Oreochromis niloticus: one gene and its partners. The protein of the gene in region 2 purifies or fractionates together with the protein of the main gene of each other region. This does not show direct contact. Links are inferred from orthologs where the notes say so. Each region holds a gene or a part of one and is shown on either strand. Other genes may lie near its edges.

Region 1 (10,098 bases), on a different chromosome or scaffold from region 2:
ATAGTAAACAAAATAAAATAATGAACTAAGTAAATGAGTAATTCCCCAACTATGAGCCACAATGTCCCCAGACTGAGTCTGTCAGAGGCCCCTGCTGCATTTCGCCGCAGTTTATTGGTTTGCTGGTTTTTTCCTAACAGCTAAGTGTCAAAAGAAAGCATCAAATATGGACTCCCCAAATAGTCAGTGTAGTTTTTTCTAGATCACATTTATCTTTTTTTCCTTTATGATTTTCCTTCTAATCAATTTGAAAAGGTGATAAGCTGATCCAGTAGACCTGTGATAAACTGCCAATTCAGGGAACCCCTGTGCAATTACTAAGGAAAGGAAAGATTTTATAACACTTTAGGTGATGCATTTAGTGGTTATTACTAGCTGTAAAAATCTGGCCATCAACAGTTTATAGCCACACACACACACACACACACGCTGAATGAAGTCACTGTTACACTAATGGAAACAAATGCAGTTGTCACTGTAGCTATAGCTGCATCAAAGCCTGTGCATTTATTTTTCATATGCATGGCTGTGAGACATCATCATGAAACTAAAGTCATACTCTGAGCCACAGTCTGTCTCAAACTAGTTTCACCAGATTTCTCTTACTGTAAGCTGACACACCTGAGCGCATGCTGACAGACAGACATGCGATACCATCCCATAATACACTCTTTGTGCATCAGAGGAAATGCAAATTTAATTTTGAAATAAATCAAAAGTAGTTTTCAAAAGAAAAAAAAAGTGCTACAAAGATTTCCCTACAGGTACATAAAGAAGAAATATAAAAACTGACCTTTTTCTTTTTGATCTGCAGCACAGCCTCCAGGAACTCTATTTCGTCAAACACCCTCACCATAGGCTCCAGCTCTATCAAACAATCTGAAATGGTAGGAAACGCATCACACTGCTAAATCCTGCCAAAGATGTAACACAGAACTACAGTCACATTAGCAGTGCGCACTTCAGTCATTAGTATGAGCATACTTTGGAAGGAAGGCCGCTCATCTGGATTAGCGTTCCAGCCGGCTGTCATAAGATTGATGAGCGTTTCTCTGCTGGGGATGTCTGCGGACAGGCTCTCCAGGCTGGTGTCAGGACGCAGCCCGCGCAGCACACTGAACATGATCTGAATGCCATTGGTCACCTCTGAACATAAACACACACATATTAGTGACTCAAAAAGGGTAAAGAAGGAACAAAGTATGACATGAAAAACGAGCAGTTACCTTTAAACGGGATCTGCCTAGACAGCACCTCCCACATGATGATGGCATAGCTACAATCCAAATATCAAAGAGGAAAACAGTTAAAGGAAGAGTTACTAAGTTGCCAGATATTGGCATTTCCCCTCATAGCTGAGGGACTTTAAAACAAGCCAGCTTCAGGGATGACTCTCAAAGCCATGACTGATTAACCCGTTGCAGCAAGTGTAACCTCTTGCGCAAAATTTACAAAGACTGCATCAGAGAAAAGTAGAGTTCTCTTATTAAAGGTGAAAAATAATCAGAATTGCTTTTCTGACAGACTCGTGGATCTCGACAGTTATGTCTGACTTTTTGTCTGGCATGACTGATTTAGCCTCCGACCCTGGGCCCTGCAGTGGTATGCAAACAATGCAATCTGAGGCAGGAACTCCGTTTCACCTTTACAGGAAGGAAAGCCTCATTTCCCTTAAATGCTTATTGTGCTCAACAAACACGGAAGTTATCAGAGTTTATAGTAACACAGTTAAGTCATCGAGATTTTTCTGCTACATTTTCAGGGAAGAATGTACATTTTCAGACTCACTTCTACATAATAGTTACTGGGTTCTGGTGCCTTACCTGTACATATCGTGCTTCACGTCGGCCCGACGGCTCTTGGATGGTTCGTACTCCTCAGGGGGCATGTAGATCACTGTACCCTCAGCAGGCTTGGACCCTGAGCCTCTACTCACTGACAGCTGTCGCCACTTCGATAGGCCAAAGTCTGCAATCTGGAGAGAAGCAGAAAGTTAGCAAGACGTGAACCGCAGACAGACCAAGTTATACAAAGCCACAGTTCTACATTTTGTGAGTCTTAAATTAATTCGTGACAAAAAGCCAAATAAGGTTGATAACTGCAGCAGGAGGACAGCCTTTTCTATAATATCAGATCTTTAAGGGGAAGTTACTATGCCTTTCTTAATTCCTGTTACAATGGTGGATACTCACACTGCCCTAAATAGTCAGTTTCAGAGAGGTTTTTCCCCCCCCTTCTACTGTTATCTCTATCCCCTCTCACTGATACTGTATTATCTTTATGTGCTCATATTAGGCACACAGCGTTGAGTGTCAGCAGACTAGCACCACCCACCTGTTGTTTAAACCTTCTGTTTGTGAGGGGCAGCCAATCAGAAGAAAGTTTAAAGGAGAGGAGTTTGTTTTACGGTCAAAAAACTTAAATATGGAGTTGATATGAGTATAATATGTCCACTTTAATTAGGCCATGAAAGAAAAAGAAATCAGTTTGAACAACCTGGTAACAATTGGTAACAACCTTTATATATACTTTTTATGCTAATAAAAAAAATGGTACATTTCATAAAGAGTAGTAGATCAGCAGTACATAGTGGATAAGCAGCACATACCCTATGTCTCAGTTACTCTGGTAACATACACAATACATGTGACTATAACTGTGACCACCTAAGCAGCTGTAACCTTTGTTACAGCTCCAACAAACACACTGACATGGGTAAGGTGATGTAATAGATTTTCCTGTTCTGCGCGCACCTCATACTTGACGCATACCTTAACATGAAATTCACCATCCAGCAGAATGTTTTGGGTCTTTAGGTCGTGATGTACGAGGGGTGGGTTCATGTTGTGAAGGAAGTTAACCCCAAGGGCGATCTCATACAGAATCCTCAAACGCAAAGGCCAGGCAAGAACGGGGTACAGGTCCTTCTGTAAGGCAGAGATTACAAAGATGGGCTAAAGACATAATAAATGTATAAATAAAAGTGGGAAATGTGGGTTTTACTACAGTGAAAGTACAAAACAATGCAAGAGCTTGAAATAAAGACTGAAAAAATTACTACACTCAGGCCAGTGGGAATTTCCCTTGTGCATAGCTGTCTGCTTCCCTCAATGCTCGGCTTGTCTTTCCCTACTTTCTTTTAGGTTTCATCAGATACTAATTACTTCGAGCTTTCGCTTTTGTTTACAGTCTCACTGACAGGAAACAGAGTCATACACTCACATGATGAGTGATGCACAAGAGAGAAAAACAACAGACCAATGCAACTCCCTCAGCTGACCTCTTTTGGCAACAAAAATCCAAATGCAACAACTATAAAACCTTTATTTTGTTCAGTGTGTAGTCTGGGCGACTCTCACAGGTAACTATTTAAACCAGGGAAAACTGGTGCCACTCAGTGGCAATCTAAATGGTTTGTTTAAGGATGTATTGCTCAGACTAGAAGAGTTCCTAGAGATAGGAAGTGAACTTGATGAGTTACCTCGTGGAGTAACCGGTCCAGAGATCCATTGCTCATGAACTCCGTGACTATGCAAAAGATACGAGGCTCATTGCAGACCCCAAAGATCTGGATGATGTAGTTGAACCTGGCTTTGTGGAGTACCTCGGCCTCCTTCAGCAGGCAGTTCCTCTCTCTGAAACACAGCCAGACACAGAATAAATAACAAAAACAAAATAACACTGACAGCACTTTTGTGATAGTGAGGTAAAGGAATATTTCAGATAAAATCCTTTTAGACACGCAGACCAAAAATGCAGAATACAATCCTGCTGAAACTCTTGATTACACAGAGGAGTAAAGATGTTACACGCAGGAATCTGAGAAATTCTCACTTGTGAATTTGGGCAGAAATGTTTTAGATGTGTGGATCTGAGTAGAATGACCCATTACTAGGTGACCAATAAACACCAAACTGAGTCATGATGTCTGGACATTTGTCTGAAATCCAGTTGGGCTGGTTCACTGTTGTTGGGATACACTGAGTTTTGTGAAACAAGCTTAAGAATTTCACATTAAAAGGTGGACTTAATTTTATAACAGAGTGGTATATTTGCATGCCTCCAGAAATAAAGAATGAGTGTAGGATTTAAAAAAAAGAAAAATATCCCTCAGTTCAGATTTGTGCCAGTCTGAGCAAACTAGCCCTCCAGCTGTAAGTCACTGGACACGTAAGCCACAGACTCTTTAGCCTTTTTCCTGCCAGAGGAATGAAAAACCTGCTCGAGCACTCTGAACACATTTCATTGAAATGTACAGGAAGGCCTCACATTTGACTCAAATTAGGTCAAGTGCTGCAGCTGTTACTGTGGAGTAAGTACAGGCTGACTTTATTGCATCATCCTGAAACAGCACAAAGTTTTTCTGTACTAGTGCAATTCATCTATAAATGGCTCAAATGTGTCTCCGTGACCTAGACCTTGTTACGTGAAGTTGTCTGCTCGGTGCTGAGTACCTTTCTATAACTGGAGAGTCGAGCTTCAGGCACTTGACGGCCACAGTGGTCCTCCAGTCGGAGTGCTTCCCCTTGAACACGGTGCCGAAGCCCCCTCCGCTCAGGTAGTACAGGTCCGTCAGTTTATTCTGGGGGATCACCGGCAAGGTGCTGGTCAGGCTGCCGATATCCAAACAGCCCGCAGTTGGCTCCATAGCAGTTTCTGAATCCCTTACGCGAAGTCTCTGAGGATTTATCTCCCACGGGTTTGGCCAATAAAGGCAGAACTACCTCTTTTGGTATAAACGTAAAGAGGAACTGCGCTCCCATTCACATGCATGCCACAACGTAGCCGACTGCTAGCATGCTAAGCTAACATTAATGTTGCAGAGGAGAGCAGAAAAACAGAGCAGCCGATAAACAGCGAATCCGCTGACCGGCAACAGCTGTCCTTCACCCAGCGACTACAGTTAAATGCGCGCAGGACCCAAAGCGAAACAACAACAAGAAGAGCGCAGCTGAGCTCCGCGCTCATTTAAGCAGGTGCGTTTGTTGTTGCTAATGACGACACGCTTCCGGTTTTTACGAGATGCGTTCACGAGTGTAGGTTTGGAGAACTTCAGACAGTTGACCCCGTTTTCCAAGCAGCCCTCTGAGCGCATTCAGAATCCCAGTACAAATATGGATAACAGCGAGGTAAGTCTAGGAAAAACACTGAGGAGGCACGCTGTTAAAATACCATAAATCATAAATGAGCCTTTAACTCAACTTTAGTTTCAGTTTCGCTGAAACAAAGATCCGCCTCCTGCGGCATGAACCCAATTGGTAATATTGGGATTTTTAGCAGCGGGAATCCCCCCCCAAAAACAGGGGTTTTCCTACAGATGTGTCGACGCTAAAGACATGTCAAAATCCGATGTTCGTGTCACGTGATCATAAGTAGCACTTTCTCTTTTCAGTAGCAGTATAGATTTTAGTTTTCCAGTGTTATTTTAGACATCCTGATAGCAGATTTTTAGATGTATCGATAAACTTTATTATTTTTATTGATTTTTAAGGTGTTTATTCTTTGATCGCTCCAAATTTGAGTTCATGTGATAATTGGGCCTTTTGGTAAGTCACAGTTAGTGTTAATTTATTGAAATTATAGGTATTTTTTGTATTAAATTTGACGTCTAAGGAGCTTGGAAAGAAAAGCGTCTGGACTTCTTTGAGTTGCTTGAAGACGTTTCACCTCTCATCCGAGAAGCTTCTTCAGTTCTAAGGGTCAATTGGTGGGGAGTCCCAGATTTAAACCCAGTGGGAGTTTCCCCCCCAAAGAGGGACAAAGGACCCCCTGATGATCCTCTACCTAATCACATGAGCCAAGGTGTGAAAGCGGGTGGGGGTCCTAATCAGCCAGGGTTTCGGGTGAGCTCATTGTGAAACCTGGCCCCACCTTTTACAAGTGCGTTGTTGTGATTTACTGAAACAGGATGCGCCCTTTTTGTGCTGTTGGATGAGACACACCATAAAGCACATGACTCTGTGTCCCTCTGTAATCTGAAACCAAGAACAGGCTTTCAACAAATCAGGTACTATGATACTGCTTACGTGGATGTCATACAAACTGCCTTGTGTTTTTGATGAGCCAGCAAGAGTATGGAGTGCGACAATCCCTGCACAGATCAGGTGGGAAACAAAGCTTGATTCTAGAAAACCCTGTGCTGTAGTTCCTTCACCCGCTCTGACTCACTGGAAGTGTTTGCACTGATCCGCTGTAAGTACACTACCATGCTCTCTGTGCATGTCCATGTGGTTCCCCCTGTGTTTATTCTAATTCACCATGTGTCCTTGTTCGCAGTACGTCACTAAGACCACCACAGATGGCTATTCCATTTACTCCAGTACCTTTTCCAGTGGACTGGGTCAGCGTGAGCAGGTCTTGTTTCAAAAGAGCTTCTCCCATACGTATCGACTCTTCATCTGCAAACTGTGAGCACTCACCTCCTGAAAGCAGAGGAGATGGTCCCACTGTAGATCCTACTGTAGATGAGACTTGTGGGAGACCAAGAGGAGGCCTGACAGATGGGCCATCCAGACAGCACAGAAGTGAAATGAGCTATGGGGAGAGCTGGATGGAGAGACCCATCACTCCGACACTGCTCGGCCACGAGATCATGGAGGAGAGGGCAAAGTTCACGGTAGGGATTTAAAGGGAGGGCTCTTCTTTTCCTGCAAAAGAAAGAAAAAGAAAAACCAAAGAAAAAAAAGGATCTCATATTTAGGGGTTTCCAAAATTGTGCAATCATTTTCAATGTATTTTTAAGTTAGCACATTTTTACATATATATCTTATATGTGAGTGTGTTAGCTGCATAATAAAACAAGTAAAAGTCACATGTTCAAGTCAAGAGAGCCAGGAACAAACTGTGTTAACAAGGGCAGGACCTTAAAAGCCTGCAATAAAAGCTTGTTGGATTTTTACTTTTATAAATAACATCACTGTTGGCTAAATGTCACACAATATTTGTTTTTTGGAAAGGATTTAGCTGAGTGGGCAAAAAATGGGTGAATTCCAAAAGTTGTAATTGCTGATGCTGATGGTGTCAGTTGAACACGCTGCCTTATTCAAAGCAGGCCACGCCACATGTTTGGAACATTTTCTTTTTATCGGATATGGGATTTGCATCTTCTTTCAGGATCAGTCAGTTTATGCAGATGTGCAAACCGTTACACTGTGGAACCAGAGGAACTCATATCATTTTAAAACTTGTCTAGCAAAAGAGAAAGAAAAGGCTGGAACAAAAAATAAAACAATCCTCTGATTGTTTTAGCATGAATGGCCTTATTTGGCCATTCTAACAGACATGGCCAAATAAGGCCATGTCTAAATTGGTTCATTCGAGATTTGTCAGCTACCAGAGTTTTGTGTTGGCGCTCTGCCTTTGGGAATTCCACGCTGGACTGACGTGGTTTTGTCTTAGCACCATGGATGAAAGTCGTCATCAGAGACTGAAGAAATAAAACAACTAGTAAGAGAGAGCATCTGTTGGCTTTCTAAATAAAGAACTTGTCATCAATGATTCAGGATTAATTTTATAATATGCATGCAGCTGCCTGAGCAGCTTTGCTTTCTGAAAGCATGCTTTTAATGACATCTCATTCAGTTTTATGCTGACGTACACTCAGACAGCAAGACGAATCCACTCACTCTAAGAAGATCTGAAAAACACTGACAGGAATAATATTGCAGTTTACAGTTTGTTGTGAGAAGAGGGGTGAAATATGCCAGCCAGACTTTCTTAATGTGTTATAAACGCTTTATTACAGATCATCTTATTGACATTACAGCTGTTTTTAAAGGATGCATTTACAGTTCCTTATACATGTTGTACTATCCTACTGCTCTTGCTCTTATGCGCGCCTGAAATGCACACGCATACAGTGTCAACTTGCTAAGGCACTCAGTGCAAACCAATACATGTGTCTGTTATTTGTCATATAGTCGTCTGTGTTCTGTAGGTTTATAAAATCCTGGTGACGGGGAGTCAGGGAGACAGCTGGGTGATCTTCAGAAGATACACAGACTTCTGCAGGCTCAGTGACAAGGTGAGAAGATATCGTGCACCTCAGCAGCTACATATTAGTGAAGCAGCCTATACACACATGGTGGTGAAATGACGTGCCGTGAGGAGCCCGGAGAGGCTTGAGGGGGTAGATTATATACGGCAAATGCTTCAGCACTTGAGTATCAGTGACTATTACTTTGCTCGTTCAATCTTAACCAACAACTTTTTTCCACATGCAGTTAAAGGATAGTTTGAGGGCTACAACAATCTGCTGCCTGATTTGTTCGGTACGCTCTGTTTGTTGGGCACACATGTTGCACCCCTGAATCGGGGAGAATATAACTTGAGTTAAGAACAACACAGCGACTGTTCAGCTCGCAGCCAGTCTATTAAATGACAGGGATAGAACCAGCACTCCCCCTACAGGTGTATGCTGTAGGTGGAGTGATACTGTGAAGCTATCAAACTCACCCCCATAAAATAAATTAGTCAGACTAATGAAAAACCTATAAAGTGACATTTTACCTCATGCATTTGTCCGATACACATGCAGACCTCGCTGCAACTGTTCTTCCATTTGTGGCACCGTGATTCAGCGACGCTTTCGGCTCTCATTGATGTAATATTGTTGCCATAGTGATTCTGCTTTCCCGTTTTTGCCCTTTTTGCTCGTCGCCTTGACGCAGCTTCAAGAGCTTTTCCCCAGCTTTCATCCAGCCCTGCCTCCTAAGCGCTGGCTCAAAAACAACTATGACGAGGAGTTTCTAGAAGGGAGGAAGGCTGGACTGCAGACCTTTTTGGAGAACCTAGTATTACACAAAGAAGTCTTTAGAAGGTGTGTGTGTGTGCATGTGTTGTGACTTTTTTTTCAGTACTACTCTAGTGGGTGACCTGAACTGTGTTTAACTTTGACCTGTACATAAAACCCTTTGGTTCCTCAGTGAAGCTGCAAGATGCTTTCTGTGTTTGGTTGAAGCACCGAGTCCGTTTGACAGCCTGGAGGAAAGCAGGGTGAGGACACGTTGCTCTCAAAGATATTGTCTCAGGGGCTGAATGTGAAGAAAGTTGTGTAGCTCAAACACCCTCTGTCTACTGTGTGGCGTGCAGGCCTTTTGCGAGAGTCTCGAGGAAACTCACCTTCGTCTTCAGAGTGAACTCGCGGACAAGCAGGGAGAAGCCGACAGGCTGAAGAAGACTTTGGAGGAGAGAGAGAACCGTCTCAACCTGCTGCTAAAAGAAGCCAAGTAATTATGTTTCTGTTGCACAGCTGGAAACACAGTGAAGCAGGAGCTGTACGCTGTGCTGAAACTGTTCATTTCCCCCGTCTCACGCAGATCCATGTCACTTTCTGCTGAGAGCTTTGAAGCTTCAACAATCACCACCCCCACAGACAGTGACACAGAGGACATGCAGTGACTGACACGGACAAAGAAACAAACTGTAAATAACATATTGAACCAACAAATCTAATCTCAGTCACCTAACACTGTTTTTTTAATGTACCAATGTTAATGATGAATAATGTTTTCTGTATTTTCTTCTCTAGGTGACAGTGACATGTGCAAGTGGTCATCAGACATCCTGCTGGTTCCTCTTAAACCCAAGTCCACAAGAAAGTCTATAATGTGACCACCGCAGTGCCAAAACAATCTTTGGATGCAGTTTAATCTAACCCTCCATGCATATGTTTATTTGATTCTTTTCAAGATGTCACTAAGAGAACTACCTCAAAATACCAAGCACATAGAAGTCCCATAATGTGTATATACCACATATTATGCTGCCTAATGAGGGAAAAAATCCAATAGATTCTAATACTATTTATTTTTTTTTATTTCTAAGTAACGTATTCAATTCATTTCAATGACAATGTTTCACTGATCTTGAATTTTAGTGTACACAAGCTCTTTTTGAAGCATAGGAAATATGAGAAAGCAAAATGACCACAAGGGGGCACTGTAATACAATAACAGTTTGAGAAAGTAAACGTCTGAATGAGAAGGAGACTGGGAACTTGATGTTCTGTTCTTATCTCGCACGGGGACATCTCTGTAAGATTTAAGTGCAGAGAAGCACAAAAGCAGGGGAGAGATGTTTTCCTCTTGAGTGGTGAAT
Region 2 (10,354 bases):
AACTTGCATACAACTTGTGTCTAACACTTACCAAAGTTCCTGCAGTGATGTGCTCTTCCTGATGAGATTAGCGAGGGCACATGCTCCTGCACTCCCTACACCATTGCCTACCAGGCTGTAAGCAAAATGTGCTGACATGCGCTTTCAAAAACAACAGATAAAACATCCTAACATATCATGTAAATAACACTTTCATGGTTTTCATAATGTGAAAGTCAAGCAAACATGTTCCAGAATTATTGCAAATCTTACCTTAGCCACACCAGAGAGTTGCTTCTCTCAAGACTACTAGCAAGGGCCTCAGTTCCTGCATCACCTATCCTATTGCCCCATAACCTGGAAATGCAAAGAAATACTGTAAATGAAAATTCATCAACAATGAAACATGAAATTTTATGGGAAACACTTACCCTAAGTACGCCAAGGTTTGATTGGCTTTCAGTCCCTCTGCCAGCTGCTTTGCTCCTTCTGCTGTTATGTTATTGTTGCCTAGCCTTGAAGAGAAGAAGGTTATTTGTTAATCTTTTGGTCATTGGTAAAATCCAACAGTAGAGTCACATTTGATGACAAACGCTGACCTTAAAGAAATGAAGACCTGCTTGGTCTTCAATAAATAAGAAAAATCCTGCATGCAAGCATCAGTTAATTTGTTGTTGAAGAGCCTGGAAAGAAACAAAAAGATTTTGAAAATTAACTGATAAAATTTTATTTAACTTGCAGTATTAATCACCTTGATAATACATACGCAATTTTCTGAAAGCTGTCACACTGGATGACTTTAGCAATCAGTTTGCGGATGCCCTCATCTGTAATGTTGTTATTTCTGAGGCTAAGGAAGGAACAATATGCATTTCAGAATAAAAGTTGTTCCTCTCTTACAGTGAAAGCAGTTAGGGAGAGTTTGTTCACTCTAATGAATTGGCGTTCAATCTATTAACCAAGGAAATTTAACAAAAGAAAAATGTATAATTTCCACTTACTAAAGGGAATTGCAAATGTGCATGCAGGGAAGAAGCTGTTCCACTCCAACATCACCCACAGAGTTGTTGTCCAGCTGGAGGCCTACAGGATTTCTTAAGTGCTGGAGCACATAAGCAAGCGCCGTGCACTCTACAGGTCCGATATTACAGTATGTCAATTTCAAATGGTCCACCTCCAGCTTGCTCATAGCATCTTTAGCTATCCGACTCTCCTGCATCTCATAGAGGCATTTTATAAGCCACACAAAGTCCGGCATTGCATGCATGCTCTTCTTTTCCCCTTGTACAGGTTGGGGAATGGACCTAAAGTGTTTCTGAATGCCTTTGGAAAGGCATCTTGCCACCTGTCTGGCCTTTTTCTCCACTGCAGCACTGGGGCAGCAGTGGAGCCACAGATTTTGATGGCGCTGGGACAATAGTCCAGACACAAACATGGCTGTGATTTGCAGATTTGGTGTCTCTGCTGCTTTACTTTCCTTCTCTGAAGCTTGCTGTTGTTGATCACTGGAAGGCAAGCAGGCTGTAAAGCAGACACGTGTCAGACCTGTCTCCCTGTTCTCTAGCTCAAAGAGTTTTGGGATAACTGAACGGTTAGTGTTACTTGACAAAACAATGAAGAGAGCAGCAAAGAAACATTGCAATGTCACATGACTGAATTCATAGCATTTGGAGTGAGTAGAGGACATATCTTTGCTTTTTATCAGAAAAACCATGCAGATATCCTTTTCAGTTACACCGCATGCTTCTAGGTCTGTACCTGAAAAAATATAACAGGTGGATGTTATCCCCTCAAAAGCAAGCTGTCCAAGAAGAAGGACTGTTTTTAGGTGCTCCTGTAGCCAGCCTAAACCCATGGTGCTCTTCAGAGGACTTTGGTGCTGGAGAAAGTGCTGTAAGATCATCAGGTAAACATCTGTAATTGTTTTGGGGCTGCCTTCTCCACAGCCCAGCAGCTCCTTATGGCACTGTGAAACTATCCAGCAGAGAACTGGACTGTGACATAGTCCAAGTAAAGCTGTGTTCGCCTGCATTGACTCTAAAACCTTAGCAGCTACAGTAGGGTCCCTGTGATGTTTCCGTACAAAACTGTCAATCCCAGTTGGGGAAAACCCTTTCAGGACAACCTCTTTGCGTAGGTGCTTCTTTAACAATGGGCTCACTGCTTCTGAACGGCTAGTGACCACTTTCTGCACCCCCTTCATGAGGGAACCCTGGATTAAGTTGAACAATAATACATGAACAGGTGCACGCTGGGTGGGGCAGCAAACTCTGTGCTCATCTGTAAAGCTCTGCTTGAGCTCATCCAGGCCATCAAAAGTGAACAGGATTTGATGTGGGTGGTCCAAGATGAACTGGAAAATTTCTTCTTGGTTCCGGTCTGGCCAGCAGCAGTGCTGAAACAACAACTCCTGGACTGACAGTTCATTGTGCTCTGAATTCAACCTGCGACAGCTGAATGGAAATAGAAGGAGAAAGTCTTGAAGGGCTACCCCTCGAGCCCAAAGCAAGTGCAGCCTCTGGAGAAGGGTGCTTTTTCCACTGCCTGCCTCCCCGGATACTAGCACTGTGTCTGCCTCCTCATTCACTATACCCACCAAACCAACGATGTCTTCCAATCCCAAAGGTCCATGGGCATTAACTTCGGCTAGTTCCAGCTGGCCATCAGTGTAAATGTCATCGAGAGACATATGGCTAGTTCCCGCATAAGTACTGAGAAAGCAGGCTTGAGCAGACACAGAACTGCTCAGCTTCTTCTGGTACTTTAAAAACTCTGTGAAAGAAAAATTTGTGAAGAAAAGATGGAATGAGTGAACCAGTCATCATTTCATACATCCTGTATATCTTTGGTCAAATCTGGAACATGCATAACTGATCTTGGCATGCCTGCCAATTTTGTATTTTCAAAGCATAACCAGAAACCTTCTGTATTTGGGGCATTTTTCCTATGAGGGTGATCAAGGATAGCTTTACTCATAAAAACGATATATATTTCTGCGATTTTAAACATTGCTTTTGACAGTAACAGACCTTTGGGAGGAGTCAGTTCCCTCTGGTTAAGTGGCAATCCAGGTTCTTGTTTTTGATGAATGTACTGCAGGAGAACCGATGCTGCTAAATCACCTCTGGATCTGACATGGTCAAGCAGACGCCTTGCCTGATTGATCACATGGACATGGATGAAAATAATAAAAAGTTTATTTTTGACAGTTATTTGGATTGTTGCGGAGTTAGATAAAAGACCAACTTACATATTCATAATCTAATAATGCAACAGCAGAAAGAGCTTTACCTTGCTTAGCTTAGCACAAAGACAGGCAGCAAGTGGTAAAAACCTTGCCTGGATCTATACAAAGGCAGCAAGATATGTTTACCAGTTTTCTTTGTATTATTTTATATTACTTGTATAATTACTCAGGAATATCAGAATAGTATCAGATCTATTTAAAGTAATAGTATTGACTGATAAAGTAACACAAAAAGTAACAAAAATACCCCAGCACGTCTGCCTGTATGACATCTAAGTATCAGGAATGCAGAAATAATGACAAGCTTCATTCCAAGACAGTTTAAAGGTAAAGAACAACTGTATAAAGTTGTCAAACCACATTTTAACAATGTGACGTTCAGGTGCTTACAGTACCTGTTGGGTGGGAGTATATATAGGTAACCGCACTTCATCACAATCAGCTGAAGAAAAGTGACCTGAATCCAGCAGAGCTGCTAGAACACCATCAACACAGCCCTGAAGCTTGTGGACAAGGCTTGGTCGTTGAGCCAGAAGAGTTTGATTAGAAGTGCTCTGACATTCATCGTTTTCTTGTAGATTTGAGCAGGATTCAGAGAAGGAGAGCCCCACTGCCTGTGCTTCAGGCAAGGCCAGTTTGAGAGCAGCTAGAAAGAGCCCACATGTGTCCACACCCTTTGTATAGACCAGATCAAGCAGCTGTCTTGCATTGGTATATAGTGTTCTTCCTGGTACCTGTATGTTCTGGTAGTCCTCCCATATGAGCGCCCCCTTGGCAAGCAGTATATCCAGAACTCTCTCCAGATGTTCTGCTGACCCACTGCTGCACAGTGCATGCAGTATCTTCGTCCTTTGTTTAAGCACTAGTTCCTCGGCAAGCATTCTTTGTCCATATCAGTGCCCATGCTCAGGGACATTCAGTTTGTGGTTACTTCTGCTTCTTGTGGTGTGAAAACCTGTCACAGCAAATGGCCAAATGTCATCATGTTACTATGGGCCAACTAGAGCTTCCTTCTTTCTTTTCTAACTCTGTTTTGAATACCATACAGCAGTACATGTCATTTTGTGCGTCTTTCTGTTAAGCCATAACAAAAAGTTAAAACAGAATGAAAAGAATATATGGCTACCATTACATACACATCAAATGTGTTGCAGGTCCCTTTAAAACATGTACAAGTACAGAATAGTCGACTACGCGACCTCAATTGCAGACGCAAGTAACACAAAATAAAACCACAAAAAAGAACACTTACATTTAATGGGAACATGGCTTTCTTTCCTCCCTCTGTCATACGAACAGAGCCGCTGTAGAATTATAGGGTCCTACCGCTTCCCTGTTCTGCAGCTGAAAGTGAAACTTGCTCTGCTTCCAAGTCCCTCCCATAATATGGAAACTAAATACAGGCGGAGATGTGGCATAGACGCAATGCTCAACTTCCCTGGTGTTTTCCAAACAGAGCAAACAATGGTGACTTGATATTTAAGGGTGGTTAAATATAGCTTGCCACACTCAAGCGCTTATATTTCACTGAGACTTCCACATCCTCTTGTCTTGTTTGCAAGATACTGCATACTTCAGACCACAAAGAGGAACTGCAGCTTTTAAAAATGCAGAAGGTTGAATAGAAAGGGTAATTTTGGGTGGGTTTTTTTTCTTTCTTTTTTTAAAGAAAGTGACGGAAACTTTTACGGGTCCTAGGTATTTCCATCCTCGTCGCAGTTTGGTGTTGTAACCACTTGATGGAACTATTGCATAAGAAAACAACATGGTGTCGGCAGAGATTTTCCACTTTTAACAGTTTCTTTTAGTATCACTAAAGCTGTCTTCTTCGAATCAATTCAATCAGAGCTCTAACTGTGTCTGTGGGCACAAGATACTGCGGTTTAATTAGAAATCAAGCAGAAAACCCCAGCAGATTCATAAAGAGGTTGTAGGGAATCATTTTGCTACGGTATCAGTTTTACAATGTTAGAACAGAAACTGAGAACCTGCAGTCTAGGCGTCATGCTGTGCATCTGATCTAAACTTCAAAAAAACCCAACCCTAAAACCGCACATAATGCTCCTTACTCCCTCTGCATTCTTTGAAGCTGAGATAAAATAGGTGCGAGAGTGGCTTTTCGGGCAGTCATATATTTATCATTTTCATTATTACAGCTCCCTCCTGAGTAACATGATTAGCTTATTGTGTGTGTTCGCTGTGCCCTGTTCGAGAAAATCCTCAAACACTCAAGGGCAGGAGTAATCAAAGACAAACTGGAGTAAAACTTTCAAACGGGAGTTTCTCTTCTTCTTTTTCTTGTTCTTCTTGTCTGAAAACAGGCAACTCCACCAAGGGGAGTGTAATGCAGAGTGCTCTCTGTCAGGCATCTTACTTGAAGCTTTAAGGTGGAGTTCTGTTATCCAAATCACAGCAGGGGGTCGAGAGAAGTTTCAACACATAAGAAAAAGGGTAAAAAAAATGTCGAAAATAAAAAAATAAAATACACACACGGTCCCAAAAGACATAGCTGTATTTCTGTGCTCTGTTTGGAGACAGTTCCAAACACTTTTTTTATTGCAGGAAAAATATGTAACTCCACTTCATTTGTTTGGGCTATATAATATTCTTCATTATTATTATTATTTTTATATTATTAGGAACAGTTTTGTTGCTCAATCACTTTAAAGACAACTCTATATATATAAAAAAAAATCTCCTTGGGCAGTCTTTATCCTTCGAGCACAGGTCCTCTACCAGAGGCCTGGGAGCTTGATGGTCCTGCGCAGTATCATAGCTGTTCCTGGGACTGCGCTCTTCTGGACAGAGATGTTGTTCCTGGGATCTGCTGGAGCCACTCACCTAGCTTGGTGGTCATGCCACCAAATGCTGGGATTGCCACTAAGACTACTGTTGCCTTCATCCTCCACATCTTCTTGAGTTCTTCTCTTAGCACTTGGTACTTCTTCAGCTTCACATGTTCTTTCTTCCTGATGTCGCTATCATTCAGTATAGCTACATCTATCACTCTGGCTGTCTTCCTCTGTATGTGTGTGTGTGTGTGTTTGTGTATGTTATTTATTTATTTATTTTTCATGACAAGCCTGAAATCGCAAATTACATCAAATTACCCTTGAACCACAGGATCTAATCCCTATCTTGGACTTTATTGGACATGAATGTTAAGTCTTGATCCACCCAGCACTAAATAACCTCATCCAGTAAATCAGCTTTAAACTGTATGTCTATGAGTAAGAGTGCAGCTCAGGGCTGGATCCTTCTCACTCTCGTAACAGAGATGGAATACTTTGGCTGCAGCCATTTTATCACTGTGCATTCTTTCTGTGCAGATATCAAAAGCACATGTTGTGAGCTCAGTGTTAAGCCAGGTGCACTGATGGGCTGTTTGTGTACTGATTGCTTTACCAGAGATTCAGAACTCCCAGAAGCAAGCCGTCATGTCTCATTTTAGTGTAGTCTTACAGTTACACAAAGTGTGCTTGTTTTTAGAACATATGTAGTGAACTTTGAAAGAACTATATTGCAAAAAAAAAATAACATAACATGATATGACAAAATCAAACAGTCAAATAATCAGAAGCTGTAATTGATCACTGTCAGGGAAATTCGGTACAATGACACCACAAACATGAGCACACCGATTTGCATTATTGTTAAAAACTACATGTATTGACTTAAATTCAATCAGCTAACAGTTTATGTGTTTGTATCAGATAGTGCTTCCTTAGCAGGTTAGTAAAATTATAGTGGCACTTTGTCAAAAAGACTTTGAAAAACAGTCATATCTCTTTTATAATTAAAATTTGAATAGTTGTTTCAGAGATCAGTTCCCATAACTCCTAAGCATAATAGGAAACATAAATAAGATGGAATATTAGAGATGTTTTAATAAAAATACAGAGAACTCCAAACCAGTGATGCAAAAAAAAGCATTCTTCCCAGTATGCTTGTTTACACAAGCAGTAAAACCTTTATTTTAACAGGTTGCAAACTAAAAAAACAAGGCAGCCATATTATCTGTGGTATTGCAGGTTAAAAAGCTGAGTGTATGGTATATTGACATGCTGTAATATTGCTTTCCACTGAGAGAATGGCTGAGTGAATTACCTCATTCAGTTTATAAAGTTAAAGTTGGAGGACAACTACTGCAGCATGCATGGATATAAGACAAAAAATGCCTTTTATATTGGAAGGATTTATGTATAATTAGAAATAGCCTCTTCAAGCCAGAAAGACAAGTATTCAGCAGAGGAAGTGGATGGCGTCGCTTTCAGAGCTGACTGGTTAAAAGGAGCATGTGTCCATGATGATGTGTGTATGGGTGTGTGTGTCAATCAGGATTTAATTGACAGGAAGATTAAAGCTCACATCTGAGAGCTCCCTTTTTGCAGGAGCAGCCAAGTTGAAGGAGTCTGGTCTCCGGCATCTGCCCGAGGTTTAGGGTGCTGCGCTCAAGGTTAGCGCAAGCACCCTGCTGAGTGTGCGCTGTCTGAGATGGGTCCTACTTGTTGGACATTCATTATCAAACTCTGTTTGCGCCTTTCATCTGCAGCTCTCTGCAGCACTCAACGTAAACTACAGAGGCACCTTGCAGCTTGACACCTCTCCATTCAGTCTGTACCTTAAACAGCATGCTGCCACATCAAAGAGCTGCGTCTGCCTTTGATGTTGCAAAAAGAAAGAGCTCCAATGATCTACTAAAAACCAATGCAACTTTCTGGAGCCTTGTTTTATTCATTTGCTATCTCGAGAAGTCTGGAGTCAGCCTCTGGAAGTCCAGACAGCAGATTTGGACTTTGAAAAAGTTGGACAGTGCAATTTGCAGAATGTACTGAAAAGGAACACGCTGCTGCCTTTTATGTTGTTGTGGCGGGGTTTATATCTTATGGTGAGCTATTTAATTCATAAGTTAAAGCTGATAAAGACTGAGTTTGGATATAAATGTATGTAAAATGGCCAAACTTTGCTCTCTGCGTTATTACATCAGTTCATGCAGTGAAACTGCAAAGATCAGGCTACATATCCATATCCTGGATCCTCTTCCTAAATTAAACCTCTCATGCATACTATAGATTCCTGTAGATGCAAAACAATCTATTTTAGCTTTTCAAAAATGGACTCACTGTATAGCCTCACAATCTCTTTTACCTTGCAAAGGAAAAATAAAGGATGTATTGTTCTTTACTTACCATTCATTTGACCAAGTTTTAAAAAAACATAGGGATCAGAATATACAAGACATAATTAAACTGTGATCCTTGTTTGTTGATGTTTTATTTTTTTTTATACCCAATACTAAATAACATAATAGTAACTTAATAAACAGATTGTGTTTGCTTAAAATGCTCACATTGTTCTGGAGGTATGATATATAAGAAGTGGAAAATATTGGACTAGTGGAAAAATAACTTTCAGTCCTATATACGAGCCACCACAGCACCAGAGCTAAACAAAGTCATTGCCATCTTAGTAATTATAGGGTGAATTAAATCCTTCTAATTATGATTTCATCAGCTATAACAAAGGAATTGTCCAAAATGAAAAGTGGCATTTAATGAAAATGAGTTCTGGGTCAGTCACACTGAACTTTAACACTTTGTCAGCTTGTTTCCTAATTGAATGAACTTGACAATAATTGAAGTGTTTTATTTTTGCCCTTCTTTAGACACATAAAAGACTGCCATGCCAATTAGCTTTAATTCTCTATTTCCCCTTTTTCTTTTCATGCTCTTGAGGAGGCTGGGACCGGCATATTCCGATCATTTGCATTATCCAAAGCAAATCTGCTTTGAAGTTCTGAGATTCTGTAAGAAAAAGGATCCACTTATCCCACATGAAAAAATGTTCAAAGCTCATAAATTCACTGGAACAGATGTACATTATCATTGGATTTGCCTTTTCCCCCCTCTTTGCTCCTTTATTGGTAATAGACTACCTCATGTCCTTCTCATCCTTTAGCGTTTAGCATCTTCCCTTTACAGAAGCTAGCACCCTGCTGTGCCAATCCACACTTCAAAGCTTTTTGCCTATCTGCTGGAAACAAAGCACAGAGGACATATTATGGCAGCCTCTCATTTCCCCATATTTAAGTCAATATCATTGCGTCTTGCCAGTGGTATCACAGAGACGGGGTTTATTTCTATCCAAAAAGACCATTCCTTGTAACCCATGTCTCCCAACAACTCAAATATAACACAGTACACATTCACAGCAGCTGTTTATCCTATTATAGTCCCAGCTAATGTGGATTTTTTTTCCATGACAATCACCAGACTCTTCATAGCCTTAAATATGGAATAACCACACACATGGTTATTATCTCAGTAATGACATTAAACTAAACATAAAAAATAATCAAGGTTTAGAAAAGTCACTGTGTCACTATTAGGAAGTATACTCTACTGTGCTGAGCTCCTCACCTTTAATTACACTAAGCAACTGTCACTTTGAATAATATCCTCTTAGCCAACAGCACACTTAAATACCTCTATGATGTGCAGTGCTGAGAGAGTGCAGCTCTTTATTTTCTTCTGTAAGCTGCTTTTCTTGGTAATTGTTAACTGTAATTGCTGTTAGTAGAGTGTATGTATAACTGACACTGTGCCACATGCTCAGACTTTCTATATATGGTGTAAACCAGAAGCTGACCTTCCATCCATCAGTACCTCTACATCACTTGCACGTATTTATATCGACTATTTATATTAACTGGACTTTAAACTCATATCAGCACACGAGTTTGCACAGCATATGGCAAGTCAGATCTTTCTCATTCAAGGATAGAGAAGACCTGATTGTAACTGTAGCAATTAATAAAATGCTACTACTATTACTATTAACAATAATAATAATAATAACTGATTTATAACATTATGGTTTCACAGCACAAAAAAAACTTTTCAGGTGGATGAAAATGTAATGAATCTGGTTGTTAGACTTTCCTATCCTTTACTGTAATTTATCTTAATTTACCCAACAGCCAGACTTTTTGAAGCACCTCATAAGCTCAGCAGTTACTCATCCAAAAAAGGACAACTAGAGTTCATTACAACTTGCCAATTAGTATTAATGGAAATCAATACTGATATCGCCTGACACCTTGCATAATTTTTGCTATGACTGCTTGCA
Region 3 (10,491 bases), on a different chromosome or scaffold from region 2:
GGGGCACTGAATTTAAAAAAAAAAAAAAAAAAAAAAAAAGACAAAGAAAAATGTACCTTCCATATCTTCTGAAACTGGATTTTGATGACTTGGAGCCTGGAAGCAAACAGGGAAAAACAAAATCCTGTGATTGAGATCACTGAAGACTGTAAGTCCTTGAATTATGACGCACCTTTAAGTCCTTGAATTATGACGCACCTTTCACATGCTGAAATTGAACACTAACTAAGCTTATTTTAACTAGAGCCCAATCTGGGACTACTGATGATTTTTCAGGTGTAGAAAATTAAAATACAAATATTCATATACACCCATTTATACACATAAAGTATGGCACATTTCCAAAACAAGTTAGTGATTGTCTGTGAAGAACAATGTGAGCCTTCCTGCTTTGCAATCCATGATGAAAGCCTTTCTAAACTAGCCGTAAGATTTTCAGCACTGTTCAACTTTTCATTTGGGCACATACACCAGACCAATAGTGTTGATATTGACCATGCTCCAAGTGAATCTTAATTTGTAGTTTACGCATCCACAACTTGTGGAAAAAGCAAATACTTACAGCTCTGTCATGTTGTGGTCTTTGTAGGTGGATGCTGTTGACAAATTCTGGCCCTTTGTTTGCCAAAAGGAAGCTGCACCTGTTTTAAAACAGCATGTACTTTGATTAAAACAGACACAAATGCCACAGAACAAAGAACAAAGTGTGTGTGTGTGTGTGTGTGTGTGTGTGTGTGTGTGTGTGTGTGTGTGTGTGTGTAAAAGCATATTAAGAAGAGGGAGCATAGTCGTTCTTACCCTGGGTAGTGTTTGGCATGCTCCACCCAAGGGTCTTCCTCAGGCTGCCAATTGTTCAAGCCTCCACCGCACTGGAAACACAAGACTGCGTCTCCTCTTCCTGCAAGGATACAAATTACATTTGATTGCATTCACAGCTACCTACTAGAAAATTTCAATCATACAGTTTAAAATGTTGCACAATGTTTCTTTAGTCTTAAACACCTGAACACTACCTGTGCTATAGAAGCCAGCTCTGGCAAGCCTCTCGTGGTCAACAGGGTGCCAGACACCAGCAAAACTAGCACGCCTTGCCTCAAAACTCTGCATTGAGGCTGGGTCATTTGCACGCTGATTGTTGCTGGCATCCTCCTCTACACCTGTCTGGATTGGGATGTTCCTGACGTCATGCCCAAGGATAAAGTAGCAGTTGGGATAATGCTTGCTGTGCTCACTCCAGGCAGTATCTCCTGGTTCCCACCCATTCAGCCGACCACCACAGCAGAAACACTGAACCTTGTCACCCTGCCCCACGTAAAAGAAACCGGCTTGGGCCAGATCTCTGGGTCTCACCGGAGCACTGTTGGGCCAAGAAGAGAAGGTCCGAAGTCGGGCTTCTTCATTTCTCATGTGAGGAAATATAGGGTAGGTGGCCTCATCAACCACTTCTCCTGTTCTCAAACGATATTCCATGTCTCCTACTTCTTCACTGATTACTGCAGTATTGGAATTCTGGTTAAAACTGGTACGGTGGACGCAGGTAAGAAACATGCATGATGGAGAAAACTGTGAGAATGAGAAAAGTAGAATTGGATCAATGTGGAAGAAAACCAAACAGACAAAAAAAAGTGAAATATTAACCACTTCGACTTTTTCATGTTACAAGTTTGATTACCTGCATGTGCTTGTCTACAGGTCTGTCTCCTCTGTACCAATTATCCACAGTCATATTACAGCTGAAACAGCGGACACGGTCAGACTCGCCGGTGTAGAAGAAACCAGCCTGTGCCAGTGTTTCCGCAGGCACCTTGTTAGCAAGGTTGGAGCCACGGAATGAGTCTATGCGTCTTTTCAACGAGGAAAAATCAGGCGCATTGTCCGTCTCCCAAACGCCATCTTCACTTACATCACACATGATTGAAACAGGAAGCTGTAGGGATTTGTTAACTTGATGGACAGATGATCTGCAAATAGAAAGAAACAGAATATGTTTGTTGGTTTTTGGTTTTTGTTTAAACGGTACAGTGTCCTCATTTGCTTGTTTGTTTGTAAACAGACACTTCAGTGGTTAAATTCCCGCATTTCCATGTCTGGCGCCAGAGAGCCAATCTGCACATCTGCAGGGTCTCTGTACCTTTAAGAGAATGCCAGCCTGTTATCACATGCAGGAACTGAATGTTCCATGTGAGGGATGGGCACTGGAGAGGCAGGTTTGTCTACAAACACAGTGCATATTAAACCACGTAAAAGGTTATACCGCTTGAAGATACAATGCAGCAGAGACCTCAAACAAAAGGCCCAGGGGCCAGAAACAGCCTGGCAAAGGCTCCAATTCAGCTCGCCGGACAGCTTTGGAAAATGTGAAAGAAGGAATATATTTTGGGCTTTTGACTGTAGTTTTACTGCTTTTCCTATTGACAGAGACCTCCCCATTCATAATACACCAAAGTAATTAAGTAATAGATAAACAATTAAATGACAGAATAGTTCCTGTTTTTTCTGTCTACAATAATAATAATAATAATAATAATAATAATAATAATAATAATAATGTCTGTTTTTTCTTTTCAAAAGGTCTCCAGAGTTTTGTTTTGTTTTTTAAAGAGAGGAGGCAAGCATTTTCTGTGAATTAACAGAAACTTTCTCCTTTACAATTACAGTACAGTCTGAGAAATGAGCTGCCAGAACTTCTGAAAGTTTATGCATTTATCCCTTACAATTTAACCCTGGAGAGCTGTGCTGACAGATTTTGTTTTTTGTTTTTTAAATCTACTGCAGCAGTGTTTCTATGGCCTGAAGAAAATTTGAGAAGTACTGTTGAAATCACCCTTCTTTGATACCTCAAGGATGAGATTTTGCAGTTAAACTTCTTAAGGCTGAGAGTAAGGGCAGTTTCACTGGGTTTGAGGTCTAAAGTTAGCTTGTATGTGGCCTTAGAAGAAAAATGAGTTTGACATCCTTGCAATGCAGAATATGAGGAAAGAGAGCAACCTAAGGATGATATGCAGCAGTTTAAAGCACAAGCCACAAAATAACACATCAGTATTACTGCTGAAGCAGTAGAGAGGTGTGGTAATTTAATTTAGGAGCTCACCTTGTGCATTACCAACAAGTAAATCATGTAGCAACACATCATGAGAAGCACGCCTTACTGCCTCTTATGTTAAGGGTTTGACTTGTTAACGCCTTCGCATTGCTGTAACATAACTCAATGCTTTTCTGCGTGAAACTATGATTTCAGAATCTTCACATTCCTCAGCGTCATTCAGTGTCACAGCTTGACGCAAAATGGACTTATCATCCAACGACAGCACACAGTCGCCGATTAAACAACCGTTTAATCGGTGACTGCGTGCTGGGTCAGTTGCTTAAACAGCTGTTTATCAGCTGATCCGTTGCTGTATTGATGGGATGCGATCTTTGAACTGTCTTTACGTGTCTGCATTATTTCAAGTAAATCAATCGCCAGCGTCATCCCTTTATTTATTTATTTTTTTTTAACTTGAGCCAAGACTGCATCGTCCCACGCATTAAAATACTCACTTTTTGACTGCGCACGACATCTAACCGAAAGTAAGCGACAGGGGAGTTTTCCCCATTAGCAGTTCCACGTGTTGCTTTTAGTATGTATTAATGATCAGATTGGCGACGATTTGACCCCCCAGCAAATTCCACAAAGGCCTCACAGCTTTGCTTCAGTTGAAAGCGACACAGACGCCGTACTGTTTCTGGGAAACGCCGAGAGCAACAGCGCTGATGACAGCAAAGACCTCGCTAAACCCACACCGTGTTTTCGTTCAGTTAGAAATTAGTCAATACAGTTACCTAAAGGTGCTTTTATATGTAAAATGTAAACACCCAAGACGACAATCTTGGACTCTGACCTGTGCTTTTGATCTGTACTGCTAGGCTCGTAAGCGGAATCGCGAATGCTAGCTTCAGAGTGCTTGGTAGCTACATTAGCTTAGCCTTTTTACGCAACGCTAGCTAGGTCACACAGTGACATATCGAATATAATAACATTTTAAATGTTTACCTTTCAACACAGCTCCTCTGTTTTCTCCAGTCAGTGTAGAGTGTGAACACCTCGGAAAGGAGACTCCGGTGAAGTCTTTTGTGACCTCCCTGTCAGGAAGTGAAAACCACCTAATCAGGTGACGTCAGGAAAGGGTTGTGGCCTGGTGGTTTTCCAGCAATATCTGTGTTTGCCCAGATATCTTGGAAAAAGAAATTTTTGATGTTAATTATTTTTTTTAACCTGGATTACTTATATAAGAGTCATCTTGCATTTAAAAATGCAGCTTCTACGTTCTGATCAGAATGGGGGGTTTTTTTCGCTCAAAATGGCTTAGGAGAGCTATGTTTATAAGCCAACAAGCTACATTTGTAGTCCGTTTTCTGATTTGGTTGCATTTCAGCTGTCAGCTACGCTGTTTAATTTAAATGTATCTCCTATCTAATCCGCCAGTCACAGGGCAGCAAGTCAATGCACTTAGGAAAATGGCAGAAATGGTAAAAACGACCTCAAACTGAGCATCAGAATGGGGAAGAAGGGTGATTTAAACACGGCTGCTGGTGCAAGATGGGCAAATCTGATCATAAACTGCTAATCTACTAGGATTTTCCTGCAATACTGGTATTTAATAAATAAATAAACAAAAAAGAAGAAAAACTATTCAATGAATGCCAGTTCTCTACACAGATTGTTTCAAGCTGCTAAGAAGGTACACGCAAGGTATGAAGAAGCGCATACTCTGGTATGAACGCCACACCTCGGTATGTTGTTCTTTGTAATGTATTGAACACACAATGAACTTTGAGGTAGATGAGACTCAGCAGTAGACTACACCTGATGGCACTCCTTGTCAGCTGAGAACATGTTTGTACATTTGGATTAAACAAGATAAGATAGTGGATCCAGCCTGGCTTTTATCAGTGGTCCAAGCAGCTGCTGATGATGCTGAAATGGCACACTTTTGGCCTCTTAATACCAAAGGAAAATAATTTAAATGGCACAGCCTACTGAGTATTGTTGCTCTCCATGGCCATCCTAAAAATACCTAAAACTATTCATTTATTTTTAGGCAATTTGAAGCATCCTCAATTTATAGGCTGGCCAGATCCCCACAAACTCAACGTGGAACAACATTGGACCTATTCCTAACACTGAGAATCTTTTAGCATGTGCTAAAACTTGATATTTTTGTTACGTGACAGTCTTTTCACTTTCATGTATTCTTCTTTTTGTCCTTTAAAACTATTATTTACTGTTGTTTCAGTTTTCTCCAACAATTATTTGGCTTCCATCAACTTATCCATTTCTTTTGAGCCAAGTTTCATGTGAGACTTACAAGTAAGAGTTCCCTTCCCACTAGTTTCATGTTTATTCTAGATTTATTTCCCTTTGTGGTAGTTCCACAAAAACCTGCATAGCTTGTGGGTTTGTGGGGACAATTTTCCACTTCAGTGTGGACAATTAATTACCTGTGTAGACACCCTTTGCTGCTTCCGTCACAGCCATTGAGTAAAAGGCAGACTATAGAAAAGAAGGCTGAAAACTAGCGCCAATAAAAATGTGGGCCGTAATCTCAACATGTGGAACAGGGAACAAGAAACAAAGGCTTTGCAGCACTACGTCAATAGGGAAAACCTGGTCACTTCTGTTTTCCACTCACTGTTCCTTGTGTTGGCAGTACTATAAATAACATAACATATATGGCATATGACTACTACAGGATTTAAATATCTGTTGTGGCTGGGTTAGTTTTCAGGTTGACATGCTATATTCAAAGATACGCATTATTTAAGATTTATCTTAAAAACAATGAAGCTGCACAACTTTATTTGTTATTCAGTTAATCTGAAACCTGAGAAGTCCAAAAAATTAAATTACTAAAGACAGCAGTATGTCATTCACGAACAACACATTTATTAACAGACTGAACTTCATGTTTTACATTGACAATTCAAATTTAATAGAAAATAGCCTGTAGGGTTTGAAAACCTGTGCTCAGACTGGGTTTCTGATCCAACAAATAAGATCTGTGCAGTCTCAAAGCACCATCTGAGTCCATCATCTCATCTTCCACACCGCACCGCTTAAGGAGGACTGAGCGGGATGGGAAATCTTAGAATGTAACTTGGCGGTTGGTGGTGGGGATTTAAGCTGGAACAAGACGTGTCGGTCAGACAAAGCATCATCCCTCCACGATCCGACGGAGTATGTTCCCAAGACTGCCCTTTGCTATCTGGAGCGGGGTCTTCTCCTCCTTGTTCTCAATGTAAATGCTCGCTCCATGTTCCACCAGCAACTTGGCTGCTTCAACACGCTCTTCATCGCATGCAAGATGGCTGGGAGAAGAAAAAAATAAAAATCAATGCATAGCTGTAAATACAGAAATGCCTTTTCCCCCTCCCTAATGCTAGTCACACTGTATAGCTAAAGTAATGTGGATGATAACTTCTAGTACTGCTAGGGTAAGTAAGAAAACATTTTCTATTTAGGTATAATTAGAGTTTATCTTTGTATTCATATTGCATGATATTAAAAAAAGTTGCATTTGACATATATGTAAGCATACAGAGGTGTGTTGCCCTGTGAGTCCTGAATATTTGTTGATGCACTCTGTTTGAGAAGCAGCTGGATGAGCCGGTAGTTGCCCTTGGCAGATGCTCTGTGAAGAGGCGTAGAGTCCAGCTTGTCAGTAGCATTGGGGTCTGCTCCATTTTCCAACAGCAGCAGGGCAATCTGCAAAGAGGTAACGATGTTTCATTCATAAGCTGAACACCACACTTTTACATCCAGTTATTTCTAGTTTCTGTGAAATACCCGTTTTCGGATCTCGTCATTTTGGTTACCACAGTCATGTGGAAGTTTCACGTTAGGAAGTGAGACTGAAAGTTAGGACAATCCTGACTGGAAAAAAAACTGTGGTTGAAATAAAACCCCGTAAATGTCAAATGAAATCCATTCATGTCATGTGCAAGTCCTTGTGAGAGAAGACGATGAAAAAATTCAGTTTCACGATCTTTTATATGCACATCTGATCTAACAAAAAAATGCATCTTGATTGTTGCAGTGTGTTGCTTGGACCCCATTTCCCACCACCTCAAGTCTCCCATATATACATAGGTCTTTATTAAATCTTTGTAAACTTAGCAATGATATAGGTATAGGCAGCATACATGCTACAACAATGTCACAATATTTGAGATTGCTCTGTTCTTATATTGTTATATTATTATCAGTTATACTGAAAAAACATTCTTGTTATCATAAAAATAAAGCTGCAGGTAATGATTTGTTGTATTTTTTTTAAATAAAGCTGACAAATCAGCCTTTTTTATATCCAAGAGATCCTTCTCGGAGAGCAAGAGGGGATGTATTGATGTATTGGTGATGATGGTTCAGAACAAATAAGAAATATTCAGGAAAACCTTCTAATACTCCAGATAAAAACAAGTACATAAATAAAACTTCATTGCATGTCCAGAGGAAAGGTTACAGTCCAAATGAAAACTGTACAGCAAACAGTGAACACAGTGGGAACACATTACAAGCGCGTGTTGACGGTATCTTTGTAATACCTCTATATGCCGCAAGGGGGAGACAAATATTCAGCACAACAAGTTTATTCTTAAATATAAGCTGTTTTGTTTTGTTTTTTTTACATTTGAGAAGTATAAACAACCCATATTTATATTTTACTTATTCCTACGGGGTTTCCTTAAACGTAGTAAAGCTCATATCTACAAGTTTCATTCTAAAGAGAAAACTTTATGCTCATCTAAGAAAAGACAAAAAGGCACAATCGAATCCTGGTACCCTGGATGAGAACATGTTTCAAGAATTTAATAGCCTGTTGCGTGTACAGGGCTTGACTAATAGGTGACAGAGAGTGGTTACTCATAAGCCAAGCCCTGTGTGTATAGGGTGCAGCGATAATAAAGGGGTGGTAACATAGGGGTAATGAGATTCCGAATCCACAGGAATGCAAAGCCAGTACAAACCATGGGAGAAAGATAAGGGAAATAAGAAAAAAAAAAAGATAACAAGAAACAACAAGACAGTTGTGAGTGTAGGTGATGGCATTGCTGTTTATCTTGGTGTGAGGAAAGTAAAAGCAGCAAACAAAGGTAATACATTAGTCATTCTATATGGGAGAGAAAGAAAAAAATGTAATGAAAATGATCCTAATAAGAAGAGGAGGGCTTTTAGACATTCCAGCAAAGGCAAGCCACAGAATAAAGGCATGCTGTAGGGTCCAACACCTGCCTCCCCCATGGATGCCCCTGTCTCAAGCCGGCCTCCTGCCATGCTTACTCTATTCGAGTGCATACATTTGTTTTTCATTTATCCCCCTTTCCTGTGTTCTGTTGTACTTTATATATTTGTGTCAATACTCAGTTAGTGTGACGCACTAGTAGAGCTTGTGTAGAGAACAAGAAACCCACCGGTGTAACCCACCATTCAGCACCCCACCTGTAGCATATTACAGGAGAGGGGCGGGGAGCAAATTTGAAAAAAAAAAAAAAAAAAAAAGAACAGCAACAGATAAACGATTAATTTGAATTAATATGTGATTATTCCTAATGATTATTACTATATTGAGAGCCAGTGTTATTGTACTAATGTCAGGTAAACTGGGCCCTGAAAAGTCCTACTTTTCATAATTATCTTTTTTCAAAATGCTTAGGACACGTTAGCTCAGATCACATGACCACAGCTGACTGAAGTCTTGGTGTGTTTCACTTCAGCTTTGAGTGGCTTACCCACTGTGTCTAAGTGTAGAACAAAAACTGATGACATTGCAAACTATGAAAATACCAGCAGGCACCAGTTCTACCCCTTTATGCCTATAGTAGAAATCTGAAAATACCCTATCAGGCTTTTAAGGTTGTGGGTAAAAAAGCTTAAGAGTCATCAGCAACACCAGGAGTGGCAACAGCAACCACAGCCAGGTTTAGTGTCACCCACAGTATTCACAGTATAATTACTGATGGCACTGTAGAAGTCAAAAGATACATACTTCACTGATGCATTTGTTCTAAGGGCACATGATGCACTAATGTATTTGGAGGAATGATGTGCTGTTTATTCAAACTTTTACATCTTGGAAAAAAGTAAAAAGAACAAAACAAAACAAAACAAAAAAAACTTAAAACCAATATATACCCACAAGAAGTGTATTGTTTGGTTGTAGTTTTTCCAAGGCTGAGGAGGTAATTTGTATAAAAAATAAAAATAAAAATAAATAACTAAATGCCGAGTCTTTAATATATTAACACGTGTGTACATGCGTGAGACACGCTTTATCAGTCTCAAAGTTTTTCTGGCTTTGGTGTATGAGGATTTCTCCAAATCATGCACTGGTCATAATTATTGTTAGCCTGGTATAACATATAGCTTTGCTTAGAACTGTGGAAAACACGTTTGTTCTGTGTTCACAGAGTAGACATCATCAAGACATGACAATAGTAAAAGTGGCCAGTGGGTGTCACTGTGGAAATTGTTTTGTAACCTCAGTACAGTCCTGGCACAAATGCTTCATATGTATAACTACTTCACACAGCTGCGCTTTGCCCATCACTAGAAGACACTCACAGCGGTACCTCTCCCCTGAGCTACACCACTGACAACAATTCGAACCAATAATTTCACATTTGAATTCATAACTCCATCAGATGTGTTGCCACCGATTTCAGTCCAGTTCTTGTGTAATTTGTCATACTTCAGCCTTTTGTCCCTATTTTCCTTCCTTAAGAATGGCTTCTTGACAGCCACCCTTCAGCTGAGACCATTTCTGAGGCTTCAGTGAACAGAAGATGGGTCAACAGAAGTGCGAGATGCATCTTCTCAGGTTGTATGTCAGGTCTTTCCTTGATTTTTCCTATTTTTTGAGAACATGACTTAAATATGTTGTTGCATTTGTTGTAGATTGCCTGCCACTTCTTTTGTCTTCCACTTGTCCACTTTCCTCACTTTCTTTTAAAGGACATACTGCACACCGTGGTGAGGTTTGCCATGTTTTCGGCGTACAAGACATTTTATGCCTGTCAATCTTTTTTATCTCTGGCATTATTGTAGATTTAACTAAAGAAATGGGAACGAATTGTGTTTTCATGACAAGCTGCTAGTAACAAAGTGTCTAAAGATACAATTTAAAATTGGTTCTTTGCTAATTTGTCTGTTATGTGCAGCCAACACTGGCTCATCTCTTGAGTTAGGTGCCTTTTTTTGTTTGTTTGAATGATTCATAGGTTAGTGTATAGTGCTTATGTGGAAAAAACACTCCTCTGAAAATGGTGAGGTATAAGAACTGGACTGAAGATAAGTGGAAAAAGCAGACAAATGTCCAAACTCTTTTGCACAACACTATATAATTAATTATGTGCGGGAACAAAGCACCACTGAACTAAAGGAAAAGATAACACAACTGTATTAACTGACTGCAGAAGTATGGAGTACTAATACTGCGACCTGTGGATGTTACC

Evidence for each region.
Region 1: the proteins of nod2 (region 2) and ripk2 purify together in Homo sapiens (affinity purification with western blotting; 12 studies listed by BioGRID and IntAct, with this or other methods). This does not show direct contact. The link is inferred for Oreochromis niloticus from reciprocal best matches to the Homo sapiens genes NOD2 and RIPK2.
Region 3: the proteins of nod2 (region 2) and xiap purify together in Homo sapiens (affinity purification with western blotting; 3 studies listed by BioGRID and IntAct, with this or other methods). This does not show direct contact. The link is inferred for Oreochromis niloticus from reciprocal best matches to the Homo sapiens genes NOD2 and XIAP.

Annotation. Positions count from the first base shown.
Region 1 is NC_031982.2:10,257,986-10,268,083, forward strand, and holds the start of ripk2 (receptor-interacting serine/threonine-protein kinase 2), read right to left. Parts: upstream 4,981-10,098; 5' UTR 4,649-4,980; coding exon 4,455-4,648; intron 4,313-4,454; coding exon of another isoform or gene 4,251-4,312; exon of another isoform or gene 3,645-4,250; intron 3,636-3,644; coding exon 3,482-3,635; intron 2,928-3,481; coding exon 2,772-2,927; intron 1,976-2,771; coding exon 1,824-1,975; intron 1,277-1,823; coding exon 1,227-1,276; intron 1,147-1,226; coding exon 985-1,146; intron 880-984; coding exon 794-879; intron 1-793. Other genes in the region: sorting nexin-16, read left to right, coding at 4,251-4,312, 6,277-6,616, 7,937-8,023, 8,670-8,818, 8,925-8,994, 9,091-9,227, 9,318-9,399.
Region 2 is NC_031965.2:31,482,964-31,493,317, forward strand, and holds the start of nod2 (nucleotide-binding oligomerization domain-containing protein 2), read right to left. Parts: upstream 4,738-10,354; 5' UTR 4,479-4,737; intron 4,182-4,478; 5' UTR 4,108-4,181; coding exon 3,622-4,107; intron 3,136-3,621; coding exon 3,009-3,135; intron 2,752-3,008; coding exon 981-2,751; intron 830-980; coding exon 746-829; intron 663-745; coding exon 579-662; intron 495-578; coding exon 411-494; intron 337-410; coding exon 253-336; intron 142-252; exon of another isoform or gene 116-141; coding exon 32-115; intron 1-31. UniProt on the Homo sapiens protein: Pattern recognition receptor (PRR) that detects bacterial peptidoglycan fragments and other danger signals and plays an important role in gastrointestinal immunity.
Region 3 is NC_031966.2:30,954,186-30,964,676, reverse strand, and holds the start of xiap (E3 ubiquitin-protein ligase XIAP), read right to left. Parts: upstream 4,191-10,491; 5' UTR 4,034-4,190; intron 1,962-4,033; 5' UTR 1,913-1,961; coding exon 1,673-1,912; intron 1,564-1,672; coding exon 1,014-1,563; intron 899-1,013; coding exon 799-898; intron 642-798; coding exon 563-641; intron 97-562; coding exon 57-96; intron 1-56. Other genes in the region: psmd10 (26S proteasome non-ATPase regulatory subunit 10), read right to left, coding at 6,195-6,348, 6,579-6,745, 10,491-10,491.